Linked DNA regions of Caenorhabditis elegans. The protein of the gene in region 1 interacts with the protein of each later gene in a pairwise test. Each region holds a gene or a part of one and is shown on either strand. Other genes may lie near its edges. The genes, in order: fkh-6, ztf-30, dmd-5 and tbx-38.

Region 1 (8,439 bases):
GCCAAACGGCAATTTCCATCCACCCCTGCTTTACATTACCCCAAAACCCTTCCCTCCAACGCTTTCCCCAACACCCTTACCCGTTTGAAAATTCAAAACATGTCCACCGTAATGTTTCCTTTCCCCCTCTTTTCCACCGAATATGTTGCCAAAAAAGTCGGATTCGGGTCCAAAGGAAGCGCCGTTTGAAGGCCAGGCACCGAATGGTACCGGCACTTTCTCTCTCTTATCTCTACGTTTTTTGAAGCGCTGAAGAGTACAACAATCTATAATAGAACAAAAAGTTCAAATAAAAATACAATTTATTGCAATAGAAATTTGAATTTTATAAATTAAAATATGTAATGATAATACATTTGATGTGTGCTTATACAGAAAAATGCAATTTGAGAAAAAAACCCTGAATTTCAAAATAAAGTTCCAACTGGAATGCTCCTAGTGCTCTTTATAATCCTGCTCCTCATTGTCCGGCTGCTCGTTGACCTCTTTATCTGCAACGTCACAGGTTAATTGGAAAGTAACACAAGTTTATCTGCCAATTTTCTTTTATCTTTGCTAACAAAACTTTTGATATGGTTTTTTTTTGTTGCGAAGATGGGGAGAGATTTATGTCCGGTTCGGTTCACCGCACTAAATCATCCCGTTCTAACTACAATTGGACTCTTGCAAGGCGGAACGGTGACGTAGATTTTAGGGGGAATGTTATAAAAGCAAACTAATTAGATTGTGTTGAATGGGGGTAAAGCTTGAAGGTTGTCTAGTTTTCTAGACAGACATATGTTTTTGGTAGGGTCAAATAGAATTGATTCAAAAATAAATTATAACTCGAATTTTGAAATACGCTGAATATGGTTGTTTGAAAAATTCTTAGGTAGTTAAACCTGTTGCCAGGTAGGTAGGCACATTTCAAGGCAAGTAAGCACGCCACTAGTGTTCCAGGCAGGTAGGCCCAAGTAGGTAGGCAAGTTGTCAGGTAGATAGGGGCGCGTTATTAACCAGGTAGACCTGTTCCTAGAGAGGTAGGTAGGTGAATAGGTACGTTGAAACAGGTAGGCATATTATCAGGTAAATAGGCACGTTAGGCACAGATAGGTACTCACGCTATCAAGTAGATAGATACAATATGAGGTAGGTAGGAACGTTATCAAATGGGTAGGCGCGTTTCTAAACAGGTAGGCAAATCTTCAGGTCGGTAGGTACGTCACCAGGTAGGTTAGCACGTTATCAGTAGGTGGGCATGTTGTTTAGGTAGGCGCGTTACCAAATAGGTCGGTACTCCCGTATTCAAGTATAGATTGTCATGATAGTAAGTAGGTAGGTACATAATAGGCTAGGTAGAAATAGGTGGATAAGTTACTAAGTGGGAGGTGCGGTAACAGAATGGTAGGCACATTTTCACGTAGGTAGGCATATTTCTAGTTAGGCAGGTAGGTACGTAATCAAATGTGCCGTTCTGTCATACATCTGCCTGCCTACCAATTTACCTACCACACTTTTTTAGCATGCACACTGTCTGTTTTCGTATTTCAGTTTTTTCATTTTAATATTTTTTGGTAGCTTCTATTTTTGGGATTTTTTTTTAACACGTCCACGACAAATTTCAGATTTTTTCAGCTACAGTAACCCAAAGAAAAAAATAAATTTCCAGTCAAAATGTCACCTTTATTATCGCGATCCTGTGGATGCTTGTCCATTTGTTCTCTCTCCTCCAACTTTTTCACTTTTGCCTCTTCCAGTGTCTGCACCAATTCTCGTCCCAATAACAACTTTTGCGGGATGTGATGTTGAATGTTACCTCGATCGAAGAACAATGGTTCATCAGCCTGAAAATGGAGTAGTTAGTTGACCCTTATGACGGCTACTTTTTTCTCTCTTGTAGACTCATGTGAAAAGAAATACAGGGAGTAAGTAAAAATAGAAACAAGCAAGACCTTTGATCAAAAAGTTTGAAACAATTTGTTGATAAGAGAAAGTCAGACAGATAAGCAAAACAGTGGCAAATATTCAGGTGATTTATTTAAAGTGATATGTTTTCGTTTCAAATGGGAAAATATCTTGTGATTCTGAAACTACACAGAGAAAAATTGAAAGTGTGAAAAAATAGAACTATCTATGAAAAATATCCAATTTTGGAAATTGTTTGAATATTTGAAATTCTGATTATGTGGTGAATTATTTTAAACAACCATTTTTAAAATCACTTTCTTGAGGGAAATTATTATTGATAAAAATCTTTTTTTTTTCGAAAAAATCGAAAATTTTGCAATCAAAAATTTTCAAGTTTTCTAAATTTGTTTCTAAATTTTTCTGATGCTTTGGAAAATGGCTAGTTTTGTCTGAATTGACCGTTTTAGCATTAAAACAAATATTTCAAATTATTTTGGTCGATCCAGGCACTTCTATTCACTTTTCGAGGCTACAGAAAACAATGCCCAAAAATGTGGCTGGAAATTTAAAAAGTTAAAAAAATCCAGTTTTTAATGAAATTAAATTTAAATTAAAAAAAAAACGATACTTGTGGTTTATAATCATTAATTTTAAAACAAATTTGTTTTTCAGAAGTTTGAAAAAAAAAATTGGAAATCATTTTGATCTACTATTTTGCCAATTTTCCCTATTAGCCTTGCGCCGACATTGCTCCACTTTGACGACTTATGTCTTGGTTCACTTAGATTTTAACAAAAAATGATAAACTAATAAAATGTAGAGAATTATTTTGGGAGTACTTTGCCAGTTAATAATTTTTGATAAAATCAAAAAGAGCTGAGATATACGCTGTCAAAGTAAAGGAAAGTGCCTGGAAGTCTAGTAGAAAAAATACAATGAATGAAAGGTGACTAAAAGTCGCTGGAAAGTCAAAAAATATGGTCAAGTTAAGGATTAAAAAATCGCAAAATTTTCAGAATAATTCCAGATTACTGTAACGGGAGTACTGTGTACAACAAAAAGAAGCACAAACCTTCTGATTCCTGCTGAAATGTGCCGTCTCATTTTGCGAGTAATGCTCGATGGCTCCTCCCTGTAAAAAGTTGTGTGTAATTTTGTGTTGTAATACAAATATTCTCCAATCGTCGTCGTGTTCTCCCTTTCGATTTTTCGTTTATTTACAAAATATAAAAAGTAAGAGATGATCAGATTGGATGTTTCTGTTTCCCTTTTACCAGTGAATCAGCACCAGAAAATGTCAGGAGCACACAGGGGGGAGAAGGAGACAGTGTGCACAATCTTCTTCCATTTCTTTCCCTCCACCCACACCTCCGTCTTCACAGTTCCGAGACCCCGCCCTCACTCTTAGCTTCTGCATAATCCGTTGTCTCATTTGACACCCCCTACCATAAAAAAATACAATAATCATGACTCGCCATCAAACACATCTTCCATTTCATATTGTGTAAGTTATGTATTTATTTATTTTATTTATTTATTATTGTTTTTAGAGAGGGAGAGAGAGAGGGGAAACATATTTTCTTTTTCTTCTTCTCTAAATACAAAATCCCCGTTGCAAAATTCTGTTAGAGGCAAAGTTTTGAAAATAAAAGAGCTCTTTCCAGTCAAGAGGGAAATTCGATTGACAAGCCGCCATACAGTTACGTTGCACTTATTGCAATGGCAATCGATGCTTCGCCGGATAAGAGAATGACGTTGAATCAGATTTACAAGGTAACGGGAAGCTTTTCGATAACGTTTTTTTGGTATAGCGGTTTTGGAGGAATTATCATGAAAATTTTGCTAAAACTAAATACTTTTTTGCGGAAAAATACCATTTTAAAAACCCAAAACTGGTGCGGCAATTCAAATTTTGAAGAATTTTTGAGCAAATTTTTCACAATGTTAGCGGAATATTCCAGTTTTTTTTGGACGTCATATTGAGTATTAAAATATGTGCTAGAACTTTCAGTTATTCCTGCAAAAATAGATCTACGAAATTCAATTCCAAAACTTTAAAAATTACTTTTTTTCTGAGAATTTTTATCTCACTTTACACTAACTTCGAGGCTGCTGAAATTGTTCCAAATCCGATTTTTATCTTCTTTTAAGTTTTTCAGGTATAGGCAAACGTTTGAAAGATTTTTTTGTAAATTTCAATTATTTGAAAACTTGAATCATCGGAGTCTATTTAGTCATATAAAACTGATCAAGCCGAGCCATTTAATGAAACATTTTCTAGTTCAAAATGCTCCTTTGAAGCGAAAAATTTGGCGATCATCTTGTAATGACATATACTTCATTTAAAAATCCAGAAAAATATTCGTCACTTCTCCGGAGATTCTCCCTATATTTTTTGTACTTTAAATTGTTTTGAAATTACTAGAAAAGCCTCAAAATATCTGTTATTTTGGAGATTTTCTAACACGATTATATAGCAGTAAAATTAATCTGCTCCTTATTGCTACAAAAAAAACGAAATTCGAAAAAAAGTTCTTAAGGTTCTACATCATCTTTCCCATATCACATTTTCGTACAGTAAGTTTCATACATTGATATTTTTGTTGTGATATTCAGTTGGTTGCTTTTTTTTTCCACCTAGCCCTGCCCTACCGTAACCCTGTCACAAGTGATCTAGTAATGTTCAGTTCAATCTAACTCTGGAAAACCCAACTCACTAGCCAGCACATCTACCGTAACCCACCACTTCCACTCTTCCGTTTTGACTCATCAACCTTAATAGATCTGACTAATTTGGTGTGGGGGGCACCCTGTGCCTCTCCCATAACATTTACACAGTGAACAACTTTTCCTCTCTCCTACAAGTCAATAACAATGTCAATATATATATATATAGACCTTCTTCGTGTCAAGACCCAAAAACCTTAGTATTCAACTTTGACAGTTAATATCTCAGCTCTCGTTTGTCCTAAACAAAAATTGTCTACCAGCCAAATATTTTTTGGTTATTTTTCTATAGGTTTGTAGTTGATCATTCATTGATATCTTTATTATGAACCGAGATATAACCTTTCAAAGTATGTTAGTTTCCTATCAGGCGCAAACAAAACCGATGATGTGTGTTTCAGTTCATCGAGGCCAAATTCCCATATTACCGTGACGCGGACGCGAAACGAAAACAGGGATGGCAGAACAGTATTCGACACAATCTGTCACTCAACGACTGCTTTGTCAAAAAAGCACGAGACGGACAAAGCTGCGCGAACGACAGAAAGGGCAACTATTGGCAAATGGTGGCGGACAATGCGCCTCAGTTTGACAACGGCAACTTTAAGAGAAGGTATGGATAGTGACAAGAGGATTATTATTATTATACACTCGTGAAAAATGACTATTTGTTCATGTATTTACAGACGTGTCAAAAGACTTGGAATCGGAAAAATGGGTTATGCGAATACGACGGAAACTACTGAAACAGGGACCATTCTACAGCAACAGCTTCCGTTTTTCAACGGGTTGAAGTGGCCACAGAATATTCAAACTATGGATCCTTTCCAGTTTTTTAAGGTAAATAATTGCCCAGTGAAGATTTTCGGGAATCTGAACGCTAACGCCCCATGAAAAATTCGAACAGGCAACAAATTTACGAAATTGTACTAAAAATATTGGTGAATCTGTAGTAAGCTTATCGTTTAGCCCCAGAGTCCTTACTAGTTAGTTGTGAAATTTTCGTTACAACTCTTATAAAATGAAGCAAAGTTGCTTTATATTCCCAATTAAAAATAATTTTATTAATAATTGTTTTTCCAAAAAAAACTTTCATGAAAATACTCAAAACTCCGAGGAAACTGTGCCAATCTCAAAAAGATCTTAAAGAAATTAGCGAACTGTGCAAATATTTCACAAAGACAACTATGCCTGCTTGTAAATTTTAGATCATAGGCAGGCATAGGCAGAAAAATATAAAGTAGGTAAGTACGCCTGAAGGCGTGCCTGCCTACCAAAAAAGCCCAAAAAGTGGACTCCATGCCTTGGTCTACTTTGACAGCTTATATCTTGACTCCCTTTGTTGTTATCAAAAATTGTCAGTTGACAAAATATGGGCAAAATATTTCTCTACATTTAAATAATGACAATTATTTGATAAAATTTCAGGCAACCATGATATAAGCGGTCAAAATAGAGCACAATCGGGGTGCAGATCTAACACTTTCAATTTTTCAGTTCCAATACCCCAACTCCATCACTGATAGTGCCAACACCTCCCAAATCAACAACTCCTCTTCCTCATCGTCATCATTTGATACCTCAATTTACACAAGCGCCTTCCCAATTCCAACTTCTCATTTCGACACAAATCTAGTGGCTCCATCTCAACCACCACCAGTTGTGTCTGATGTAGAAGTTGTACCATCGGATACTGTCAAAGAGGAGGTTCTAGTTGATATGAAGCCATTGATCCCTGGGATTTCAAGTACAACATTCTTGACAAGTCTTCAGATGACTGATCCGAGGAGTATCGAGCAACAGGTTAGTTGAAATTTTCAAAAAATGTTTTAAATAAAGTTTATGCTACTTTTTTTTTAACTCTTGCAGCTTAATGGAGAAATTTTGAAGTCGGTAAAAATTATGCTATCTCCACTTTTTCTCCTATCTCCACTTTTTCTAAATTTTAGAATTTTCATAACTAATCAAAAACCCTCCTAAAACTTATTCCAGCAACTGCTCTCCACTGCAAGCAACATGTACCCAAACGCCTTCATGCCCCCTTATACCAATTGGTCCTGTCAACCAACAACCACTTTCACGGGATTATCATTTGATGACCCATCTCTCTATGGTTATGGACAACAATTCCCAGCTTCATCTTAACTTACCCCTGTCAACTGCCTGATCCTCGTTTCGCACTGTTTCAGTTCCTCCTGGAATAAATTTTTTGAAATATTTTGGTAATTAATTTCAGATTACCTTCAAGCTAGAATTTTCATCCGAATAATTATTCTTCACCTTCTCCTCCAAACCTTCAATTTTCTCTTTGAGACCCGCAATTTCTTGTTCATATTTTTCGATTGTTTTCTTCGAATTTTCATCGTTTTTATTGTTTTCTTTTTTTTGCTCTTTTGGCTCTTCTTTTAAAGTCTATAAAACATGAATTATGGTTTTAAAAAAATTTCAAATCTTACCTGACAATCCGTCAACTCCTTCTGGCACGTTTCTTGTTTTGTCTTCAACCCGTAAATTTCTGACTCTTTTAATTTAATTTTGCTTAAAAATTTGGTTGATTCGGCGTGGCGGGATTGTAATTCAGCCTCGATCTTCTTTTTGTGCAGCCAGATTACTGAAAGAAAAAAACAGTGATTTGACTTTTAAAGTGTTTTTTTTTCAGTTTTTTTTTAATGGCAGATCTACTCAATTTGGAGGGTTTTTCGAAGAAAAAAAATCACCGATATCAATTTTATTTATAAACTTAAGTTTATAGTACTTATTATTTCAAAAACTAATATTAATCGGAATTTAAAATTTACCAAATAAAAGTTGGCAAGAAAATCTAAGTCTCTGAGAACAAAATTTTGGTAAAATTTTGTCCAAAAAATTTGTAGTCTAAATTTGTAGTAAGTTCAAATTTTTTGAGATCAAACTGTGACCAATAATTAATTTTTTTCGAGAAAATTTTTCTGCGAGAAATTTAAAAAATCTGATTGAAATAGTTTTAGCGGGAAATTCGAATGTTCTTAGAAATAAATTGACGGAAATTCAGAATTTTCTGAAAATCGATTGATGGCCTAACTTCAGATTTTTCTAGGCCACGTAAACAATGTTAACTAGAACTTTTTCTAAGCTACATATATAATTTTTTAAAAACTCAGAAGACCTACCCCTCAACTTTTCGAGAGCACTTGCGTGCTCTTTCTGCAACATTTCCACTTGCTCATCCTTCCTCCGAATCTCATCAGAATACGATGCTTCTCTACGATTCCAGACGTACAAAAAGAAAATGAACAGAAAGAGTAGGACAACTCTTAAACGATTATTAGGTGCGCCGAGCAGCGACGGCATCAAATTGCTCTTCTCGTCGGCATGTATTGGGTGTGAGTGTCTGAACGAATTATTATGATCTTTTTTTTTCAATAAGAAATATCGGAAATAAAGATGAAATTGACGCGAGAAGACATACTTCAGAGCCACACGAACACGACGGATCATTTCACGAGTTATTAGAGTTGAAGGGAAAATTGGAATACACCACAAAAAAGTTTGTCAAAGAGGAATTGGATCGAGAAGAGGGATTGTAAAACTGAAGGATTAGTACGTTTACAGGTGCGGAGAGGGAAAATTCGGAGGTTTTTTTTAATTTATTTTTTAAAATTTTGACGGGAGGATTTTTCAAATTTTCACCATAAGAGCTGAAAAATTGCGAAAAAATAACTTTCAAATTGGAGATTAATTTTTTTTTTGTTTTTCTATTTTTCGTACTTAAAAACGTCCTAAAAATCCGAAAAATTCTTAAATTCAGGAAAAATTCACAAAACTATTCCAGAATGAAAAATGAAA
Region 2 (7,377 bases), on another chromosome or scaffold:
AGCAAAAACAAATACATATTTGCGGAATGTAGTATAAAACCCAGAGATATGTAGTTATCAGTGCATACCGGCTACAGAAAAACTTTTAAAAAATGCTGCAGTGGTCAGTTTACATTCGGATTTGTTTGTGTACGATTAGAACCTAAATGCTATTGAAAAATGGAATTGGCATATGGTATATTGAAATCGAAGAAATCGAACAAGAATAAAAGAATACAATGGACAGTAATACTGTAGGGACATCAATTGTAAATAAAATAAAATAATGATTGTCTATGTTTGTTCATCTGTTCCATTGAGCAAATTTTCAATGAATCTAAATTTTACTCTGGTTTTAGAAATTGTATGGCTCAAAATATGTATTTTGTGTGTGTTCCGGAGTACAGCTTATCACTTTATCGAAAAACGTATGTTTTGATAAGGAAAGGGCGTTTCAATAAATTTGAAGAAAAAAGGGCGTTGCAACAAGTGACATGAATAAAACAAACATATTCGTAGAGTCGTATCAATAATCAGCATCATTTCGATCTTACGTACGTGGAGTAACAAGGAACTGGAATTTTTTGCATGCCGGAGGAATAGGAAGATAAAAATGAAAGACTAGAAACATAGTCTGCTTGTCTGGTATTCCAAAGATCCCCTACCGTACCTAACTGTACTAAACTTACAGCACGGTTACCAAATCCATACAGTCCCGTAATACCACAGTATCTCAAATTATTATGTTTTTTTTAACTTTTAAACAGAATATGTATTGTATTTTGTATGTATTTTGAAAACTTGTTCAGACAAGTTCATCAAACATGTTAATAGCAATTTGAATTGATTTCATAACTCTGACAGCGTCGTCTGAAAATGTTTCTCAATACTATTTAATTTTTCTACCCCCATACTCTATTGTTTTAATTTTCCTAGATAAATTAACAATGCTCCAAATTCGTCAAGTTTTTTTTTCCTGAAATGGTCAAATTTTGACAGCAATGACAATGTTCAATGTGAGCACCTATCAGCACATCAACGAAACAACCCACAAAATAATGACAAAATTGCTATGAAAAATAATAATTTGATGAAAACTGACTTTGCGAAATTTGAGAATTTAGCTGAAACAGAGTTTAACATTAAAAAAAACAGAGCTCAGGATATTGGTAGAGGCTCATGACTAAATTTGGTATTTTTGGGTCGCTTTAAGTGAAAATGGACATCGATTTTTTGTTGGAATTAAAGAGCTAAGAAATGAGCTTTCTCAGATTTCAGTTACCATGGATATTTGGCAGAGGATTTATTTAGTTATTTGTTTATTCTGGATAAGAAATCCGTTTACGTCTTTTGTAAATGTATTTTTCAAAAAAAATTTTTTTTGAAAGAGTACCAAAAATTCTGGAACACACATTATTCAACTTTCTATACTGTTTTTTTACTTTCTTGACTTTCTCTGATCAGTTTCAGTTATTTCCTGGAAGAAACGTAGAATACAGCATTTAAATTTATATCAAGTATGTATTATTATTATATTACAATTATGTATATTCAACGTAAGCACTGAGAATTATGGAGATGGAGACACAGAAGGAACACAACGGATCGGATGATTTTGATTTGTTTGTTTAATATTTGTTTTGGAAATAAAAAGCAAAAAATCCCGCAAACAGGAAGAAATAAGTTAAAAAATATAGTTCTGAGATTGGTAAAAAATATTGCGAAAATTATGAGAAATCTCCAAAAATGAAACAATATTAACATGATAGTAAAGCTTGCGAAGTTTGAGGTTTCAGAGAAATTTGGAAAAAAGATAATTCTAAAAAGGACGTGTCAAAATTGTGTTATTTATGAGAATTCGAAGAAATGAATTCATTTCCGAGGCGTCGTGAGCTTTGTCATTTTGAAGAAATTTCACGGCAAGATTCTGAAAAAATAATTTTGAAATACTTCTTTCTGATCTGAAATCTTACCTGACACTCTAACAATTTCCTTTGGAATAGCTCATTGTGCTCACGGAGCGCGTGTGCTTCCATTCTCAATCTGAGCACAGTTTGTTCCAATCCATTCATTTGGGCATTTGCTTCTAAACTTTCTTGTTGCATCGTACCAATTTTGTGTTCCAACAGTTTGCATTTATTTTCAGAAATCAATATCTTTGTCCTGCTGACGTGGCAGTCGAAGCATTCATGACGTGGACTGATCCTTGAAGAAGAAGATGATGAGGATGGTGAAGCTGTATCAATCAATGGAGATGATATAAGAGCACGATCAGAACACAACTGATGGAATGCACTAAGATCAGACTTGAAGCTGACTGATGAGCAAGTTGGTGACTGTGAAGTATACACATCGGGCTTCTCCACTTCATCTTTTATTTTTTCTTTTGAATCTGCTACAAATATTGGTGCCGTAGCTGAAATATTATCATAAGCATTACAAATATTTTGTATGTAACTTACTAGGTATGGGTTTTGGAAGATTTGCAAGCCATGAAGGTGTCTGAGGTTGAGATCGAATAGGCGATTGAAGAGCAGGGATTGGGATGCTTGCAATTGGAAGAGAAGGTACTGATGATTCAAGGGATTGTGGGGTTGGTAGATTTAGAAGTGGAGTACGGATTACTGAAATCAATAATCTTTTTATGTTCATCTCATATCTGATAGTCTTACACTGGAATGGATCTGTAATGAGGTGGCAGCTTCTGTTGATAACTCCATGAGGAATGACACTATTATTATTGTTGTTGCTGTCATTGTTGTTAGTGGCAGTTTGTAGATGAATATGAAGAAGTGATTTATCAGGAAAAGCCCAATTACAGCAACGGCACATGTACATTCGAGAGATATGATGTTGCTTGAACATATGAGTACGAAGAGATTCACTACCTGCAAATTACAATAGTTTTTTATTATTATTCAAAGTCCCCAATTCAAATACAGTACTCCTATAAAGTTTGTCTACTTATCCCAAAGCCATTATTTGACCCCTTACAATTTCGCTCCAATCCTCCACTTTTTTCCCTTCTGCCCCCACTCTCATCCATTGCGCAACCTCATTCAATTGTCCCCGTTCTCGAAAAGTGAGAACTGTGTTTGCGTCTGCGTCTCCACTATTTCGTATTTCTCCGGATGACCTCAATCGTCCGGAGAATGAAGAAACAGTGAAAATTGAATGAGATCAAGAGGAATCTTTCTCCGGAGAGTGGATGGATAGTAAACAATAATTGTTCATACAGATGCTTATACCCGAACAACAATAAAAACGAGTTTCTTGCGGTGTTTCATGTGATAAACAATTCAGGTGTAAACAATATGCTTGTTCAAATATTATAGGTGGATGCTTTAAAATATAGCAGTGGTTTTGCACTGCACAATTTTGCTCTGCAAAATGTTCTACAGTATCCCTGCTAAACCCGGGAAATGAGGAGATCAAATCAAAAGATGTACTGGAGCTTAATACATTTTTGTAGCAAAAGCTCTCTGAGTCCCTGATCGAACAAGTTTTCATTCTATTTCATATTTTTGTCTCCAGCAGCTTTTCAGCTCAAATGTGCAGCTCATTCTTGTATCAAATGTCATGATTATCTTTCTTTCAATTTCGAAAAATCTGTGATTGAGGATTTTTCTTAATGCTCGGAAGATCACCTCATTGTCAATAAAAAATAAATAACTTCCGACTTACTTGAGATATCTTTTCGGCATACTGTGCATTTGTAGCTTTTGAAGTGAGCCTGCATACGGTGGCGGGAGAGACTTGAAGAATGACAGAAAACTTTTGAACAGATTGAGCAACGGAACGAACCTGAAATTCAGAATCATTATAAAAGTAAGAACCTAATCAGATTTGGTGGACTAATAACAATTCCCAGAACTTACAAACCTTTTAAATCGGGTCGTTTTAACTCAACACCACTTCCACCTTTGGATCCACTGATATCAGTTCCATTCTCAACCTCCACGTCACTACCGTAACCTTCCTCCTCTGTATTTGTGGGTGAATGAATTTTATCGTCTTCCAGCTTCATATCCATTTCAAGATGCATGATTTTGAGCTGAATCATGAAACATGAAGACACATGAAACAATACAAAGGCAGATAAAATGAGGAAGTAAAAAATCTGAAAATCGAATGAAAGAAAAGATGTGTGAGCTCATAGCATTTTGAGCACATAGGCACTTTTCAATGTGTGCAGGCAAAAGGCCATTATGATGACGGAGGAGGAAGAAGAAAGATGCAAAAAGTAATAAAAAAAGCTTAACTACAGGCATCCAGATCAATGACGCTGACGGTAAGAATGATCCATTCTCTTTTTAGTGTATGTCATGTAATCCCAAATCCAGATCATTTTACAAGAATGACTTGAATTTCTAAAATAGAATGTGCTGCAAGGATACGGTAGATTAACTCAGATAACGAATGAATCATTGCATTCAATGTTTTGGAGCAGCAGGAGCACGGGAATTTTATGAGAACGTGTGTGTGAGAAGCTTCAAATTTTAAAAGTAAATCGGAGGAGCTTGAAATCAGCAATCGTAGTATTATCTTTCAACATTATTGCCTGGTTTCGCGTACCTAATATATTTACAGAATTTTTGGGGCAACAGTTTCCAAGAATAACTTGTTTGGAGGCTTTTCCAAACTGTGACTCTTTGCTCCATTATTTAGAAGACGTTTTTTAATTTTGAACTCTTTCGTAGAAAAAAGAAGAACTTAGTGTGAACGTTGAGTAGCCAATAAATGGCAATTTGTCAGTATTCACTTATTTTAGGAGACTCTAAAAAGACAATCTCTGGAGTTTTTAGAAAACTCTAAAAAATGCTGGTCATGTTGGACTATTATTAGTGTATTCAAGTTTTGACATAGTCTCTTGTTTTGAAATTTATGAAATGGTTAAAACAGCTAGATTTAAAAATTTCATCAGCCATTGTTTGATCATCTGGGCAAATCTTAAAGCATAATCTTCTAATCTTTTTTGAGAGACCTGTTTTTAAAATCCAAAGAAAATCCTTCGAAGAAAGTTTATGGTTTGTACTTCAAAATCGTCGGACAAGTTGTTTCTAAGAAAGTGAAGCAAAAAAGGTTTAATGATGGATTTTGCATAAGAAAACTAAGTAGGTTTAAAGTTTAATCGCGGGGGAGTGTTTGCAAAAAAGGCACATCTTTAGGGACTTTTTTCTAGATTTAACAAATGAAAAAGCCGTGCAAATTTCAGTTTACTTGGTTCCCATATCCCAAAAAGAGACCATAAACATTAGATTAAAACTAGGCACTTGTAATAAGCCTAATGACGTGGCACCGAAATGTTGCAACCCGTGACTATGAACTATACAAGGTCAAACTGTCAATACACCTATCCTTTCCGCTAATTATCCATCGTCACCAAGACGGCTAAGACGGAAAAAAGATGAAGACGGACGGCAATGGATTGAAGGGAATAAGACGAAAGTGTCAATACGCAAAGACTAGGTCAAACCGGAGAAGATGAGAAAGTATAGAAGAATAAGAGATACAGACTAGAGGAATGACGTAAGGTTTCCAGGAGAAGCTAGGTGAGATGAAGTGGAAGTAAAGAATTTGGAAAAAAAATGTGCTAGAATTGGGGAGAAAATCTCAATAAATTGTAAGCATGTGAAGGCAGTGGGGAATGGGTTCTGAATTATTTCGAACACATAAGCTCCGGCAGTTGGGTTGCTACTTGTTAAAATACATCCTTAAAATTAGCAGAAGGAAACATTTCCATTTCAGAGTGATAGAAGTTCACAAACTACTAATTTGGAACTTTCCTTTTTCTGGAAAAAAGTTGACACCTCTGAAATGACACCATATTCACTAGTGTTCCTGAAAAGTTTTCCGTATTAGTTTTCATTAACAGCAAAAAAAAGTTGGCCCGAATGAAAAAAAATAGGCGGATACTCGGATGGTATATCCTGCCCATCGACAAGATGATCCTTGCTTCAATTGGTTTTAAGCCGCTTCCCAGATTTGATGAGCGAATTTGGCGATGAGCCGTGACGACGCGTACAGCCTCATTTGTGCAGGATCGAAAAAGCATCAGTTTTCGAGATAAGGCAAGACATGTGGAAAAAATGTTTTCTGACGCAATTGAGTTAAAAAGGGCGGGGCTATGGCTATGTGTACCGAAGTGTTGAGTACGTCAAATTTTTTGAAGTAAGTTCCTTTAGAATTTTAGATAAAGTTGAAGTTTGGTGGGAAGATCTGATAATAGTTTCTTTTTATACCACAATGTAATCAATATAAAAACATACATCGTTTTCCTATTTTACCTGGTTCAGTAGTCTGGAAGTTCCATGCCGCCATATTAAAGCTTAATAATTATAACTACTAATTTCGATATTAACTAGCAATGCCACAAATGGTAGTTTCATTTGAAATAGGAAAAAATAGAAAATTTTCAACTGGGTCATCTTTTTCCCAATTTTTTTAAAAACCAAAAATTGTCTTTTTTAAATTAAAAACCAGTTAAAATGGTTCAGCTGAAAATTCGCTCGCAAATTTTCGGCTTCAATTAGTTTATTTTTTCTCATTTTGTAAGTATATTGCAAACTGGGGACACAAAGAAAAATTTGATGTAAACCCCTTGTGCCTGTCACACAAAAATAAGACTAAATGTCTAAATATAAATATTGGTACTTTCCTTGTATTTCCTGAGACTTAAGATCTTTGAGGAAGATCGCAAAATTTCGAAATTCACTCTGTAGGATTTTCTAGATTTAGCATCGAAATGCTCAATCAACAGATCATTCGGAATGACAATATGCAATCTTTGATGATGCTTACCATTTTTGAAATAAAAAACCCTGCCGTCTTCTGACCCATCAATTAGTCATTGACAAAAAATGAGAATGAAATTGGATTGACTCTTTAAAATCCGGTAAAATATATAATGCCGACGTCGCATCAAAAACTACAATCTGATAGTAATCCGCTTGTTTCTCTTTCGTAGTTTGACGTGTTTTTTCATCCCGGGCCCGTGTCTGACTTATTAGGGAAATATGTGTCTGAGGATGATATATTGACAAGAAACTATTTTTGATTTGAAATGTAGCTGGTAGGATTTTATTTATTTGAAATCTTGTATTTTTGGTAGGATTAAAAGACTATAATCTATTTTTAAAAATATCTAAGACTGTGGTTAAGATATTGAAATCGAGATGCAGGCAAATTGTGCAGGTAACTCAATTACTGGAAGGTAGAACCCTTAATCTTTTCGTCAAATTATTCCTATAGAGTCTTTAAGATATAATCTTTGTTCAGCTTGTCACCTAACATCAAGAATGCTTCTTAAACCCATGTGACACATTTCACAACTAAAAGATCTACTATTTTGAGCTTTCTAGAGACGCGTATGATACTTGGCAATGTGCCAATTAAATA
Region 3 (6,820 bases), 1.4 Mb from region 1:
GAGTTGAAATCGAAAACAATTATTGTGAAGAGCCGAAAATGCACACAGATGCTCTCAACACCTTCAGTGGCTTCTTCAATTTCTTTTCAACAAATCATCATCATCGTTTACATAAATATGTATTTATATTCATCCCATCATTTTCTCCATTGAGCATATTGAGCACAAAAGCATCACAATGCTTCTTGTTTACAGTAATCGCGTGAAGAGGATAGATGAAACTAAGGGAAGAGCTAGTACACATTAGTAGAGACTAATATGTCACACCTGCAAAACAATCTTACTGTAGAATTAGGATATAAAGTGTTTCTTAATACCAGGAAGCAAAGAAAACATCTGCGTTGAGTGCACTGGGTGGCAAAATGTTTTTAGATGATGAATAAATGAAATCAGTTTATTAAATGTTGCATGTTTTTTCGAAATTTTATCACATGACTGAAAAACAATTGAAGTTGAAACAGATGAAAACGCTGTGATATTGTTAGTAGAGTAAATTTTCTCGCAAGTTTATCTAACTTTTTCTTAAATTCCTTGCGCATTTTCACAATTTTTTCGACCTTCACGGTTTTCCAACTTTCTCATGGAGTTCACCAGAAAATGAAGATGTGCATGAAAACACTGAAACAAAATACTGAGTTAGTGAGTTGTAATAGTGAGTTGTAAAACTGATTATTGACGGCTTCTAATAAAAATGGTACACGATCAAGTGGATTCAAAAATGTTCACAAAAAGCCTAGTTTCATAGGACTTTCTCAAAAATTTTGTATGCCGATATAATTTTGAAAGAAGTCGTTGACAATTTAGGTTATTTGAACCATTTTGCGTATATTATAGGAAAAAGGTTAGAAAAGTTACTCTTCAAGATATTCAAAGTCAGAGTTCAAATGATATTCGGGATGTGAATTTCTCAAATTAATCGATGTCGGGTGCTCATTCAGAGCAATGTTTTCAAAATTTTCGTTATTCAAAGTCTCAACGACGACTTTCCCTGGCGAGCTCACCAATGAACAATTAATCTTATTCAATGTTTTTACAGTTAATGTTCCAGACAATTTCAGCTGTTCAGTAGAATTCAGACAGGAAACAGGTTCATTTTTACACGAGGTGTCTACGTTTTCTGATAGATCTGCATAGGTTATTATAACGTTTTGGAGTGTGCCAGAGTGTATCTGTTATCTCCAGAATTCATTGGTAATTAAGTTAAATTTTGCACCAAACCAGGAAATTTGTGGTTCTTATGTATCTGTTCTTGGACGTTAAATTCGCGATCACTACTTCGAAAATGTACGCTCAACCCCATGCTTACAAATTTTACTTGAGCTCTCTTGTAATACACTTGTTCAGAAGTACACCCGTTCTCTTCTCTATCACAGATTACCTATTTTCATATTTAATGTGTAAAAGGCCATGCCGAAATCCAATCAAAACACAAGCATGAGCTTTTGCATTCGCAAATTCTAATTACAAGGGGGTGTCCACAACCAACACTCTTCTCCATATGTTATGATTATTGTTGTTAGCATACCCTTCCTTAGCCTCTTTAATACGTTTTGCGGTAATTTAAATTAGCATCTCAATCTCTACTAGTTATTTGTCATGATACCTTGTGATTATTACGCGGTTAGGCCCGATGCTTTTGTGGCAAACTTGTAATTATTCTGATGTTTAGAGAGCACACGATTTCAAATTGCAGCCTCTAAAATTGGTGTGTACGCGAATCTAGTAAGATGTAAACTTTATTGAAAACACTTTCAATTTTATTCTAAGAATTTCTTGTTGTGGTGGTTGGCAGGTGATTGATGGCTCGTGATTTGGCATATGGTGATGATATTGATTCCATAACTTCCATTCAAATCTTGAGAGAAGTTGCGCTACTTGCAGCAGGATAGGAATGTGTTCACATTTTTTGAACAAAATTAAAGTTTCAATGTTTTGTGGGTACAGTTTTTGAAAATGCATATCTCCAAGCGTCACCATTTTTCAACTCCGGAATTTTGAAATATGGCAACCATGGCCTAAAACAAAATGCAGGTCAAGTGGCTTATTTGATTTGATAGTCCCTACTCACTATCAGAAACTCGCCACACCTTCTCAAGAAAGGCTAGAAGCTTTTAACCAAGTTTAGCCAACTTTCGGTAGTTTTTCAGTGCTCATTTTTGGGATCATCCAAAATTTAACCAGCTTTACCTAACTTTTGCAACTTTTGCGATAACTTGCTAAAGTTGGTTGAAACGTTGCGACATACTGTCGAGTTATAGGCGATTAAGCAAAGAGCAGTTTATCCAGTTTTTTTCGATTTAAAACTATTTGATTACCGTATATTTTCAACATTCCTAAATATAGTGCCTTGTTATACACCCACTTGATTATTACCAAATTACTCAATGTTTTCTCACAGTCTCTTATTTTTTCTTTTCCTTCTACTACTATCTCTGGATATATCTGTTTCATTTGATCCTACAGTAACCCCTCTTTCCCCGACACCCTCTTCACAAAGGGTGGAGCTTCTTCCGGTTGGTGGTCCGCGCGAGCACTGATCGAAGAGCAAAAGGGGTGGGACTTGAGCATTCCTTTTGGGAACCATTACCTCTCATTCTGATATTATAACATTTCACCTTATTCACAACAAAATATTTTAAACAGAATGCCTGTTTCTCCGTCGTCAGTATCTGTGCTACCGCCAACTAGCCTCGAACAGATTCTTCGAATTCGTGCAGAGAGGAATCAAAGGACTCCGAAATGCGCGAGATGTCGGAATCACGGAACTACTTCTGCATTGAAAGGTTCGTATTTTAATATTCCATCAAAACAATTAACCATATTCATCAGTCTCATAGAATAAAAAATAAAAACCGAGATTCAAGCTGTCAAATTAAGCAAGACTACCAGAAAAATCATTTTGTTTAATCCTTAATCGAAGTACAAAATTTTTTTCAAGTGCATGTAATAGTTCCAGTAAAGCTTACTTCAAAATATAAGGGGACAATAACACTCGATGCTCCGGCTTCTGTTAAAACCATAAAATAAGTTGCTCTATAAGAACTTTCAATTTTTGGAAACACATCACCGATCTTGCCATCTTTGCGTGATTTGTGCTCTCGTGGAAAATCTAGAATTTAAATGTAATATTCCATAAACTTTCCAGGTCACAAACGTTACTGTCAATGGAAGGATTGTATGTGTGCAAAGTGCACATTAATTGCCGAAAGACAACGAGTTATGGCTGCTCAGGTTGCTCTTCGTCGTCAGCAATCTCAGGAAGAAAGAGACGCAAGAGATTTGGAAGTACTTCTGGGTTCTGCTGGAAATGGTAAGTCAGCTTATTTAAATATTCGGGGATTAAGCTGTGGAATGCTGGTGCTGAATCAGTGCATGTGTTTTTCCCGATCAAGTATTTCCGGTCATTTTTCATTCAAGTTGTGTCTTGAACAAGCTTCCCGCTGTGCTCGAGGTGCTAGACTAACTATTGGGTAACCTGACACTAATATGACCTATACTTGTTACAATACTAATAGTTCATTAGGGTCATCTTTGTATGCTCACACACCTTCTACAATGACACATTGTTCTCTTTTTTTATAGAATAACACGCTAACTTTTTATTTAATTTCTATTTTTTAGCGAATGATCTCCTCGATATTCTTCGTCTCGATGCCGGTGAACATCACGGGAAAAACCACGCTTCTCCGACGACCAACAACAATAATAATACTGGTGAGTCGACATGACAGCCTGTTCGAGACAGAGAAATGAGAGTGCGCTCTCTTCTTCCCGCAGTAATGTGAAGGCTACGGAGCGCCGCGTCGAATGGCCAGCACGATGGCCGAGTGGTTAAGGCGTTGGACTTAAGTTCCAATGGTGGATAACACCTCGTGGGTTCGAACCCCACTCGTGCTAAACTTTTTGCGTATTCGGAAACAGGTGCACTTTTACCCCATCTCCATAATCCCCGTACCTGGTTGCGTAAGTCAATTAGCTAGAGAGCACTGTAAGCTTTACGAGAAGCAGATGCATTTGAGAGGGATAAGCTATTCACAATATTGATGGGATTAATCTAGATTAGCACTTTACAAGTCAATTGCTCTCATTTAAAAGATTAACCTTAACTAACCTTGCACTACCTTTCAGAAGAAAAATACGAAGACTCACAGGGACAACGGAGTTCACCAAGCTCTCCAACAGGTTCTGAAACTGTTGTAAGCACTTCTTCCCCACCTGAGCTCTCATCTGAATCAACACCAAATACCAGTGGCTCAGTGATTCCAACAAGTCCAGTTTTCAAACCAAATGGATACTCTTCAATGCCAATGTTCAATCCTGTGTATGGAAGACCATTCATGAGATTTCCGAGTAAGAGAGCTTATTCAATATTATTTCGTAAATTAAACTTATTTTCAGTGTTTTCAGTGATGCCGCATTTCTTCGGAACTCCATCAATGTCAGATTTCGCATCTGCTGCGAGCCTCGCAGCTCCACCAGCGTTCTTCTCAGCCCAGCCAACAATTGCCACGTCATCACCGAGCACAATTTTCCCACAAACTGCTCCATTGGATTACAGTCATCGTTTAATGAAAAATGAGGAAGCCGAAGAAGAATACCGAGAAAATGATAAAACATTTTGAGAAATTGAATATTTTTTCTTATCGTCAGAATCAGAGTTCCAATACTTTGTATATTTTTATATGGTCACATTTAAAATTGTATTTATGATTTGTCTTCAATTAAAAAAAACTAAACTGAATAAAAAATCTTATTAAAATTGAAAAAGAAGTAGAAAACATTGAATAGAAAGATTTTTCGGTGGAAAATGAGCGGGGGGAAACACTTGAAGTTTGAACGGGAAAAGCAGTGTATTATGAAAAGAATTGCAAACGTTTTTGTTCTTTTTTTGATGTTTTTTAAAATGAATTTCAGATTAGCGATTTTAAGTGAAGAGTCTTAAGCAAATCAATTCAATATTTTGGTCAGTTTTAGGCAGTTTCAATGAATCAATTTAAAGAAAAAATGTCGAGAAGGTCTATCATCAAGAATAATAAGAAAATTATGGACAGAAACTAGAGAACTTGAGTGATTTTGGGGAGTTGTTTAAAAGAGAAAAAGTTGTTTAAAAATAATGAGAGCTTATTGTCCGGATTGGATGGTCTTCTGGGTGTGTGTTGCACGCTCCTCTCCATCCTTGTTCACCAATGACGTCACAACATTGGCTCCGATTCCCCAGGTGTTCTCTCCATCGAAGACAAGAGACTCTGGTGGGTTGTTGATGCCTCCTTGGTCACGGGCGTAGATCTGGAAATTTATTGGAATTGGAATATTCTCTTTTCGAAATTATGTAGATTAGTTTCTCAGCAAATGCGAGAAACCCTTAGACTAACCCGAAACGATTAAATTTCATAATGAGACCTCTCAGAAAATGTTTCCAAATTTCTTATGGTGGCTCAAAACTTGGGGAAAACATTTTCAAATTTCTAAAACCTGTAACTCTGATAAAGAGCATTAGAGAAATAACAACTGATTTTCCGATATTGCTACATGGACAATCTCACAAAATTTCAGATTTTAGCAAAATTTGGCCATTCCCTTTCAAAATTTTTTTTTTGGAAATTTTCAGGTGAAAGTACGTTTTTAACGGGCTTCAGACTATGTTGGCTGGGTTTCTCAAAAATATAGTGGCAGACTAAAAAAATACTAAGAATATTTACATAGCTACACACTTTTTTCTAAAACAATGATAAAAATAACTTACGGTCAAGTTCTTTCCTGGCTTGATAACAACATTGGCTGGAATGGAATAGACAATTTCGCGTCTTCCATCCAACTTTCTTCTGATTTTGTGCTCACCAACATTCTCATCCTGAAATAAAATTTTCAACATTTCAAAACCAAAAAGCTTCAACATACCTTGTTTCTGTGCGAGTTCTCAAGCTTGATGAACTTTCCATTTGGATCACACTCGGAAATTGTCACATTTCCCTTGGCGGATCTTTGGAAGGTGGTCTTGGTGGATACCTCACCGCGAACTGATCTTGTCGAATCAGTGTTTTCTTGTTGTTGGAGAGAATGCGTCTTGACGGCTTGCTCAACCATTTGGGTGAGTCCGACTCTGCAAATATATTTTTGAAACTTTTGAGAAAGGTTTTAGAACAAAATGATAACAAAACTGCCCAAAATTTGGCTTGCTGGGAATATTGATTAAATAACGATAATAATTACCTGGTCTCTTCTCCCTCGAGCATTTTTCTGTAGATGGCAATTTCGGCGTCAAGCATTTGCTTGGTATCCAAAAGAGCTTGAAGCTCAGCAACCAATGTTTGGCATTCCTCACGCATTCTTCTCAATGTAGCATCTCTGTCGTTGAGGGCAGCTTCGTATTGTCTTTGATCGTCGGTCAATTGGTAGTTCAAGTTCTGAACTTCCTTCTCCAAAAGTGAGTTCTTGTTCTCCAAATCTCCCAATTTTCCGCGGAGATCTCCAATGTTGTCTCTCATTCTCTTGACCTCATCCCTCTGGTAGGTGGACTCCATATTGGCACGGTTGGCAGATCCTTGAACCTCGGAAACCTTGAGCTTGTACCAGGACTCCATGTCTTGCTTTCCTTGCTTGGCAATGATATCATACTCATCTTTGATATCACGGATGGCAAGAGCCAATTCGTTTTTGAAGAACTCTCTGGTGTCAGCTGGAGCCTGAGCAAGGAGAGCTTGAAGTTCCTTAACCTCTTGTTCGTGAACTCTTCTCAAGAATTCGAGCTCCTCCATCAAAGTCTGCACTTGATTTTGGAAGTCAATTCTGCCAATGGTCTCATCATCAAGATCGCTTCTGG
Region 4 (6,696 bases), on another chromosome or scaffold:
GAGGCTGAAATGGTATTAAGATGAAAAGAAGCGCAGACTATCGATATTCCGATCAAGTCGGGCATTTTGACGGAAACTCACATGAGTCTTTGCAGTTTCCAGTGGCAATGGGATTGCACGAATATCATCGAGAGACTTCAAATGTGGAGAAATCCCTCCGTGCATGCAGAGAATACGCTTCGAGACGATTGCACACAGGGGCATATACGAGAAGACTTGATTGAAGTGATTGTAAACCGATTCATACACTTCTTCCCTTTGGAAACGCTTCTTGAGCTCCGCGTGGAAGCCGTAGTTTCTGTTACCAATAAGATTATTTTGTGTCAGATCTACTAACATGTGCTTACTTGTTGATGGCCTTCAACTCATGATTTCCTCTCAACAAATGCATCTTTCTGGGCATTGCCAATTTGAGTGAGAAGAGAAGCATAATGACTTCCAATGAGTGACCTCCACGATCCACGTAGTCCCCGAGGAAGAGGTATTGAGTTTTTGTCGCTGCTCCGCAGGCCTGAAAGGGAACATATAGAACAGCTTAGCACACATGCAGTTGGTATGGTAGGCAGGCAGGTAAGGACTTACATTGAAAATACGAAGCAAGTCGTTGTACTGCCCGTGGGTATCTCCACAAATGTTGATCGGAGCTTGAAGTTCCAAAAGAGCATTTGCAGCCGGTTTTGGAGGGCTCATAGATGTGGTTGCAGATGCTGAAGCAGATGGTGCAGTTTTCTTGTTCGGTGGAGATGTGTAGTACTTGAAGACACGTGTCAACAGCACATGGATCTCTTTTTCCTGAAAAAAAGACATTAGGAACGTAGGTAGGCATGGAGGCAAATAGACAGGCAGGGGCGTGGGTAGGTAGGCAGGCAACCGCTTAGAAACGCAGGGATGGTGCAGGTAGAGAATAGGTAGGAATGCAGTGGTTAAACATTTAGGCAGGTATGAGGCAGGCAGGTAAATATGCAGGGATGATTCAGATAGGCAATGGGAAGGCATGTAGGCAGGCACAGGTGAAGCAGGCAGGCCGGTATAGAGTCTCCTTTACTTACATCAAACATAATGGCTTTCGAGAATACAGGCTTCAGAAGTTTCTTGATCATATCGGTCAACTTGAATCCCTTCTCATCGGCCTCCGTGATATGCCAATTGTTGGCTTCCGAACCCGGTTCAACGGAAGTTTTCTGAAAAGGTAGAGGCATTTTAAAGAATCATCTGAATTTCCACTTACCTTTGGAGCATCTGTTGCAGCAGGATTTGAAGAATTCGAAGAATTTGAACTCATTTCGTTTTCAATTCAAATTGATCCCTTTGAAGTGTGAATTATCAATTAATGAATTTATTTTCTTTCTATTGATTTATTGATTTTGATGATTTATTGATTGACCATTGCGATAACAATTGTTTTTATTTTTGACGCGAACATTTTTAAATTGTTTTAAACTTGCGTAACTAAATTGTTATTAAAGTTGTAAACTATCCAAAAATTGTAAATTTTATGTTCTACATTTTGATAGTTGACAACTTTTTTATAGCGTTTTTTTTTTTTTTTTGTTTTTGACGCGAAAAATTTCTTTTTTTTTTTGTAAATTTTTTTCAATAATTTTTTATTATAATTTTCGTGATTAAATTGTTATCAAAGCTATCAAAAAGTTTGTAAATCGTTTTCCAACTATTCCTAAATTCCTAATCGATATTGTTTTTTTCTTTAATTTTCCAGATGTCCTCCAAGTTTCCCACAATATCGTGTGTCTTTCGTTTTCCAAACCACGTGGCGTACCATACATGGCAGAGAGTTGTGTTACGGCTCAAAGACATGTGCCGCTTATACTTTGCTATAAAGTATTTTGCCAAGTGTTTCGAACCGTTTTTGAACCGTTATTATTACTTGAAAAATCTCATATTTGCAGTAAAAATTACTGGAAGAAATGTACATTTAATAGTAACGTTTAAGTATGAAGCTATTGAAAAATGTATGAAAAACAAAATATAAAATTATTTTTATAATCAATTTCTTGTGTTTCTAACCAATTTCAAAATGCACCAGCCCTCCCGCTGAGCCCGACACATCTTCTCCTTCCGAGCCAATTCAAAACTGCGCACCGCTATCACTAGAGTGTGAGGTGTCAAGGTGTGGGTGGAGGTATACTTTTGAAGTGTGAACTACACATTCTAGATTGCTGAAGACCATAGAGATGCTCAGTTGGAGGAAGAGGTGTTCAAGAATCAGACACCAACATTGGCTCGCAGTTTAATGAGTGTTCCGATTTTACAGTTATTTTGGATATACTTCGCGTGTGATCCTTCTAGGTCATTATTATATTGGTGTGAATTCAAAAAGCCTAAGCCTATGCTTTAGCCTAAACCTGAGCCTGAGCTGAGGTCTAAGCTTAAGCCTGAGCCTAAGCCTAAGCCTTAGCTTGAGCCTAAGCCTAATAAGGGATGGGCGGCGAACAGGCTTTCTTGGTGAACGGCGAATTCGGCGACTTTGCCTATGCAGTTTTTCCAGTTTTCCAGGTTTTCTCTGAAGGTTTTTTCTTGTTCAAAGGTGTAAGCCTAAGCCTAATTGTAAGCCTAAGCCCAAGCAGAAGCCTGACTGAGCCTAAACCTAAGCCTAGGCATAACTCTAAGCCTAAGCCTGAGCATAAGCCTATGTCTATGTCTAAGCCTAAACCTAAACCTAAAGACTAAGCCTAAGACTAAACCTAAAGACTAAGCCTAAGCCTGCACCCAAGGCCGCCGTGCGCTACATCTCCCATGGCCACACGCTCATATGTGCCAAGTTGTGCTCCACTTGCCACGTGTCCACCCCTACGTGTGGCCCAGCCCCTTCCGGCTCCGCCCACTTACCGGCTCAGTTTTACAGAATTAGTGAGAGTGGTTAGCACTTTTATTACAATTAGATTTTTGTTGCTCTACTTCCGGTCTCACTTTTTTGTGCTTCTGTTACTCCTATAACTCCCCCTGTTACAGCATTACCATGTACTCGTGCACCTCCCCATCCGGAATTAAAGTCTCCTTGAGCACACCAGAAATTTGGGAAGAGTTCTACCCGAAAACCGAAATGATTGTGACGAGAAACCGTGGAAGGGTGATTTTTCCGCATTTGGACTATATCATCAAGGGATTGGATCCAGGCAGTCTCTACTCGATTTATATTCATTTGGAACGTGTTGACGGGATTAAGTGAGTTGGGTTAAAAGATAGAAAAAAATTTTCAACTGGTAAATTGTAGAAAATTAAATTTGCTACAATTTCTAAATTGACAACTTTTTGATAGCTGGTATACTTTCAGAGTTATAACCTATAGGACGATTCCAATTTCAAAAACTTGAACTCATTTCCAGATACAAATTCGACGCAGGAGAATGGAAAGAATTCGCCAAAGGAGATCCGATTCTTCCAATCCAATACAAGGAGCATCCGCGTGGCAAGCGTACTGGAGCAGAATGGATGAGTGAGCCCGTCTCGTTTGCTCACATCAAAATCACGAATAACCCGGAAATCAAGGATCAGAAGGTCATTTTAGTGCAGAGTATGCATAAGCACATTCCAGTGGTCACTGTTAAACAGGTCCGACATTATAAGACAGGGTATCAAGAGGATTTTAGTGGGGAGCAGTTCCGGTTGGAGGCTACTGAATTTATGGTGGTCACTGCTTATCAGGTTAGTTATTTGAAAGGGTGTGGGAAATTAAATTTGCAACAATTTGTTGAAAAAAGTTGAAAACATTTTAATCGCGTCACTATCAACGGAGATGAAGTAGTTTAAAGTTGGAGAGCATATTTTCAAGTTTCCAAAACTGTAAATTTCGAAGCGCTATTCCAACTTTTCAAATCAAAAATAAATGTAGACATATAGAAAGCATCTAATTCAAAATTAAAAAAATACTGAAAAACTTGCCGAAAGTTGCCATTTGCTGAAGCTTAAGCTTAGGCTTAGGATTAGGCTCAGGCTTAGGCTTAGACTTAGGCTTAGGCTTACGCCATTATACAGGAAAAAACCTTCAGAAAAAACCTGGAAAACTTAAAAAACTGCATAGACAAATTTGCCGAATTCGTCGTTCGCCAAGAAAGCATGTTCGCTGCCCATCACTGATTAGCCCTAGGCTTGGGCTTGGGCTTGGGCTTAGGCTTAGGCTTAGGCTTAGGCTTAGGCTTAGGCTTAGGCTTAGGCTTAGTCTTAGGCTTAAGCTTAGGCCGCAAATCGACTTTTTCAAAATATTTGTCGAGCACGTCAAATTCGGTAAATTTATTCGGCATGGCAATTTCGGAAAAAGCATTAAGTTTTCATTAAGTGCCGGATTGAAACTACGCTATTAAAATTTTGTCAACTAAAAAATAAAAAAATGTAGCAAATTCAATTACCCACAACTAGAAATTTTTCACCAACTACATACATATATTCTCTACAAAATTGTACCCTTTTCCAGAACGAAATCCTCAAAAACCTCAAGGTTCATCACAATAAATTTGCATCCGGATTTCGTTCGAATGGCAAGAGACGGCTTTCTTCAGACTCTGAAAATTCTGAAAACTCTCCGCCCAAACGCAGCAAATTGGTAACCCCACCGACAATCTCACCGCAAATAGATCTCCCACAGCAAACCCCGTATTATTTCAACCAGAATTTTGTGGCTCCGCAGAACTACCAGCCACAGTTTGCAAGTGCTCAGAATTACAATTTCGAAGTTCAAAATAATGCTCAATTAGCTTGGAATATGTATTATCAAAAACAATACGAGTTTTGGTGGCAACAGCAGCAAATGATGATGCCAGGACAACCACAAGAGCTCAAAAATGAATTCCAAAGTTTGTGAATTTTTTGTAATATTTTTATACCCCCTACCTATTGCCTTTCTCCCCCTTTGAATATTGTACTGCACTGATCTCCTGGATTACTATTTATGTGTCTCATAAATAACAATTGAAATAAACTTTATTAATATTTAAAAAAAATCAAATAGTCCTCGCGGAAGACTGCGCCACGGACAACGTCACCCCAATCGAGACACTTCTCTGCCGCCGCGTCACAAAACTCCTATATGGTGCAACGTAGTAGATCGTTAGAATCGGATCGATGAGGCACGGGATGACGCAGGTTGGAAACGGCACGAACTCGGCAATCTCGAACTCGATGTGGATTCGCTGGAAATTTTTCAATGGGCTAGGCGTGCCTGCCTGCCTGCCTATCTCACCTGCGCCACAAGGAAGTATGCAACATTGGGAAGAAGGCATACCATCGGGAACATTGCCTGCATTGTGAGTGCCTGGAAAAATTGGAAAGTTGCCTGCTTGTTTGCCTACCTACTAGGCAGGCAAGCCTACTCCTACCACTCACCCTCACCAAATCCAACGACGATTTCTTGGTTCGTTCACTCAAATGTGTCTGAACTTCGTTGATTTGATTGAAGATCTGATGTCTCCAGTACAGAATGAAAACGGGCATCATGTAGGGAATTCCCATGAGAATTGTGGTATTGATAAGATAAACCAGCCGAGTTGTCGACTTGAAGCCTCCATATTCGCCGAAAGTATCTAATAGGTGATAGTTGGGATACGATCTTTCCGTGTTCAGGGTTACTGTAGGGAAGTCGTATGGAGGAATTAAAATTGCTACCTGAAAATTTTGGAATTTATTTAGAAAGTGGTCCTAGTATTAGGCTTAGACCTAGGCTCAGGCTCAGGCTCAGGCTGAGGCTCAGGCTTAGGGTTAGTCTTAGGTTTAGGTTTAGGCTTAGACCTAGGCTCAGGCTTAGGCTCGGGCTCAGGCTTAGGGTTAGGTTTTTTGGGCTTAAGCTTTGGCTTACGCGTAGGCTTAGGCCTAGTCTTGATGAAAACCCTGAGAAGAAAATCATGGAAATTTCCTACTTCCTAAGCGTTTCAGGAAATAGGACAAGAAAACCCAAAAATTTGAACCAAAAGAAACATTCAAGATTATTTTAGGCCACGCCCATATCTTGGCTAACACTCTTCACTTACCAGCATTCCAACAGAAATCACCAACGTTACTCCGAAATTTCGACTCAACGCTAAATTCTCGCACTTTCCGTGACAAATCAACGAGTACCGATAGTACATGGACAATAGTATTGAGAGATTTGTGGTGCAAAGAAATAAATTATAAAAATTATAACCTATGAAGGCAATCACAGGAGACGCATGCCGAAGAGGGCCATATGGTACCAAGGCGACCGATTCGCCGGCGCTGATGATTCTGGAAATCGGGAAATTCTGATAACATGAAATTTTTTTGATGCGAAATTTTCGTCGACTTTTCAAGTAGTTTTTGTTAAATTTATATATTTCTATTTATATTACGAGAACACAAAATTCTGAGAATGCGTATTGCACAACATATTTTACGCGCAAAATATCTTGTAGCGAAAACTACAGTAATTCTTTAAATTACTACTGTATCGCTTGTACTGATTTTTTTTGAAATTAATCTTTTTTTCCTCCCGTTTTGCCTAATTTCGATATGTACTCCACACGGACAAACACATTTAGTTTTACAACTAAAACCGAGCCGCGACGCGACACACAACGCGCCGTAAATCTACCCTGGCCGTGGCTGAGTCGAAATTGCCTAGTTTGGCAAACTCTTCCATTTCGAAATATGAGGAGAACCAGAACACCTTTTATTTCAAATTTTAACCGCCGGTTTGCTATAAAACCCACCTCATTTGTAACAAAAACG

What was found.
Region 2: the proteins of fkh-6 (region 1) and ztf-30 interact in a two-hybrid assay, tested with the Caenorhabditis elegans proteins (one large-scale study listed by BioGRID).
Region 3: the proteins of fkh-6 (region 1) and dmd-5 interact in a two-hybrid assay, tested with the Caenorhabditis elegans proteins (one large-scale study listed by BioGRID).
Region 4: the proteins of fkh-6 (region 1) and tbx-38 interact in a two-hybrid assay, tested with the Caenorhabditis elegans proteins (one large-scale study listed by BioGRID).

Annotation. Positions count from the first base shown.
Region 1 is NC_003280.10:4,378,203-4,386,641, reverse strand, and holds fkh-6 (Forkhead transcription factor fkh-6), read left to right. Parts: upstream 1-3,235; 5' UTR 3,236-3,353; coding exon 3,354-3,391; intron 3,392-3,551; coding exon 3,552-3,660; intron 3,661-5,015; coding exon 5,016-5,227; intron 5,228-5,300; coding exon 5,301-5,454; intron 5,455-6,111; coding exon 6,112-6,417; intron 6,418-6,606; coding exon 6,607-6,759; 3' UTR 6,760-6,764; coding exon of another isoform or gene 6,765-6,809; 3' UTR 6,810-6,855; coding exon of another isoform or gene 6,856-7,026; 3' UTR 7,027-7,057; downstream 7,058-8,439. Other genes in the region: B0286.1 (uncharacterized protein), read right to left, coding at 436-491, 1,661-1,823, 2,960-3,019, 6,765-6,809, 6,856-7,026, 7,071-7,225, 7,764-7,806. UniProt on the Caenorhabditis elegans protein: Probable transcription factor. Binds to the DNA sequence motif 5'-[TA]TGTT[TG]T[TG][ATG]TT-3'.
Region 2 is NC_003281.10:8,593,838-8,601,214, forward strand, and holds ztf-30 (Zinc finger transcription factor family protein 30), read right to left. Parts: upstream 4,034-7,377; 5' UTR 4,007-4,033; coding exon 3,862-4,006; intron 3,784-3,861; coding exon 3,664-3,783; intron 2,868-3,663; coding exon 2,652-2,867; intron 2,604-2,651; coding exon 2,442-2,603; intron 2,396-2,441; coding exon 1,953-2,395; intron 1,907-1,952; coding exon 1,799-1,906; 3' UTR 1,473-1,798; downstream 1-1,472.
Region 3 is NC_003280.10:5,769,993-5,776,812, reverse strand, and holds dmd-5 (Doublesex- and mab-3-related transcription factor dmd-5), read left to right. Parts: upstream 1-2,592; 5' UTR 2,593-2,644; coding exon 2,645-2,783; intron 2,784-3,145; coding exon 3,146-3,310; intron 3,311-3,466; exon of another isoform or gene 3,467-3,581; intron 3,582-3,621; coding exon 3,622-3,714; intron 3,715-3,731; exon of another isoform or gene 3,732-3,926; intron 3,927-4,128; coding exon 4,129-4,350; intron 4,351-4,398; coding exon 4,399-4,622; 3' UTR 4,623-4,759; downstream 4,760-6,820. Other genes in the region: F10C1.1 (uncharacterized protein), read right to left, coding at 2,393-2,584; Intermediate filament protein ifb-1, read right to left, coding at 5,122-5,286, 5,744-5,851, 5,899-6,100, 6,211-6,820. UniProt on the Caenorhabditis elegans protein: Transcription factor. Required for sex-specific synaptic pruning, probably acting downstream of sex-determining transformer protein tra-1.
Region 4 is NC_003281.10:11,782,334-11,789,029, reverse strand, and holds tbx-38 (T-box protein 38), read left to right. Parts: upstream 1-2,968; 5' UTR 2,969-2,977; coding exon 2,978-3,183; intron 3,184-3,205; exon of another isoform or gene 3,206-3,285; intron 3,286-3,344; coding exon 3,345-3,663; intron 3,664-4,429; coding exon 4,430-4,816; 3' UTR 4,817-4,948; downstream 4,949-6,696. Other genes in the region: C24H11.1 (Serine/threonine-protein phosphatase), read right to left, coding at 1-4, 82-298, 348-511, 583-792, 1,050-1,181, 1,229-1,282; srd-74 (Serpentine Receptor, class D (delta)), read right to left, coding at 4,956-5,144, 5,195-5,266, 5,338-5,616, 5,979-6,213, 6,678-6,696. UniProt on the Caenorhabditis elegans protein: Transcription factor. Required for mesodermal induction, acting redundantly with transcription factor tbx-37. Together with tbx-37, acts by inducing cell fates in the AB lineage, thereby playing a role in development of the anterior pharynx.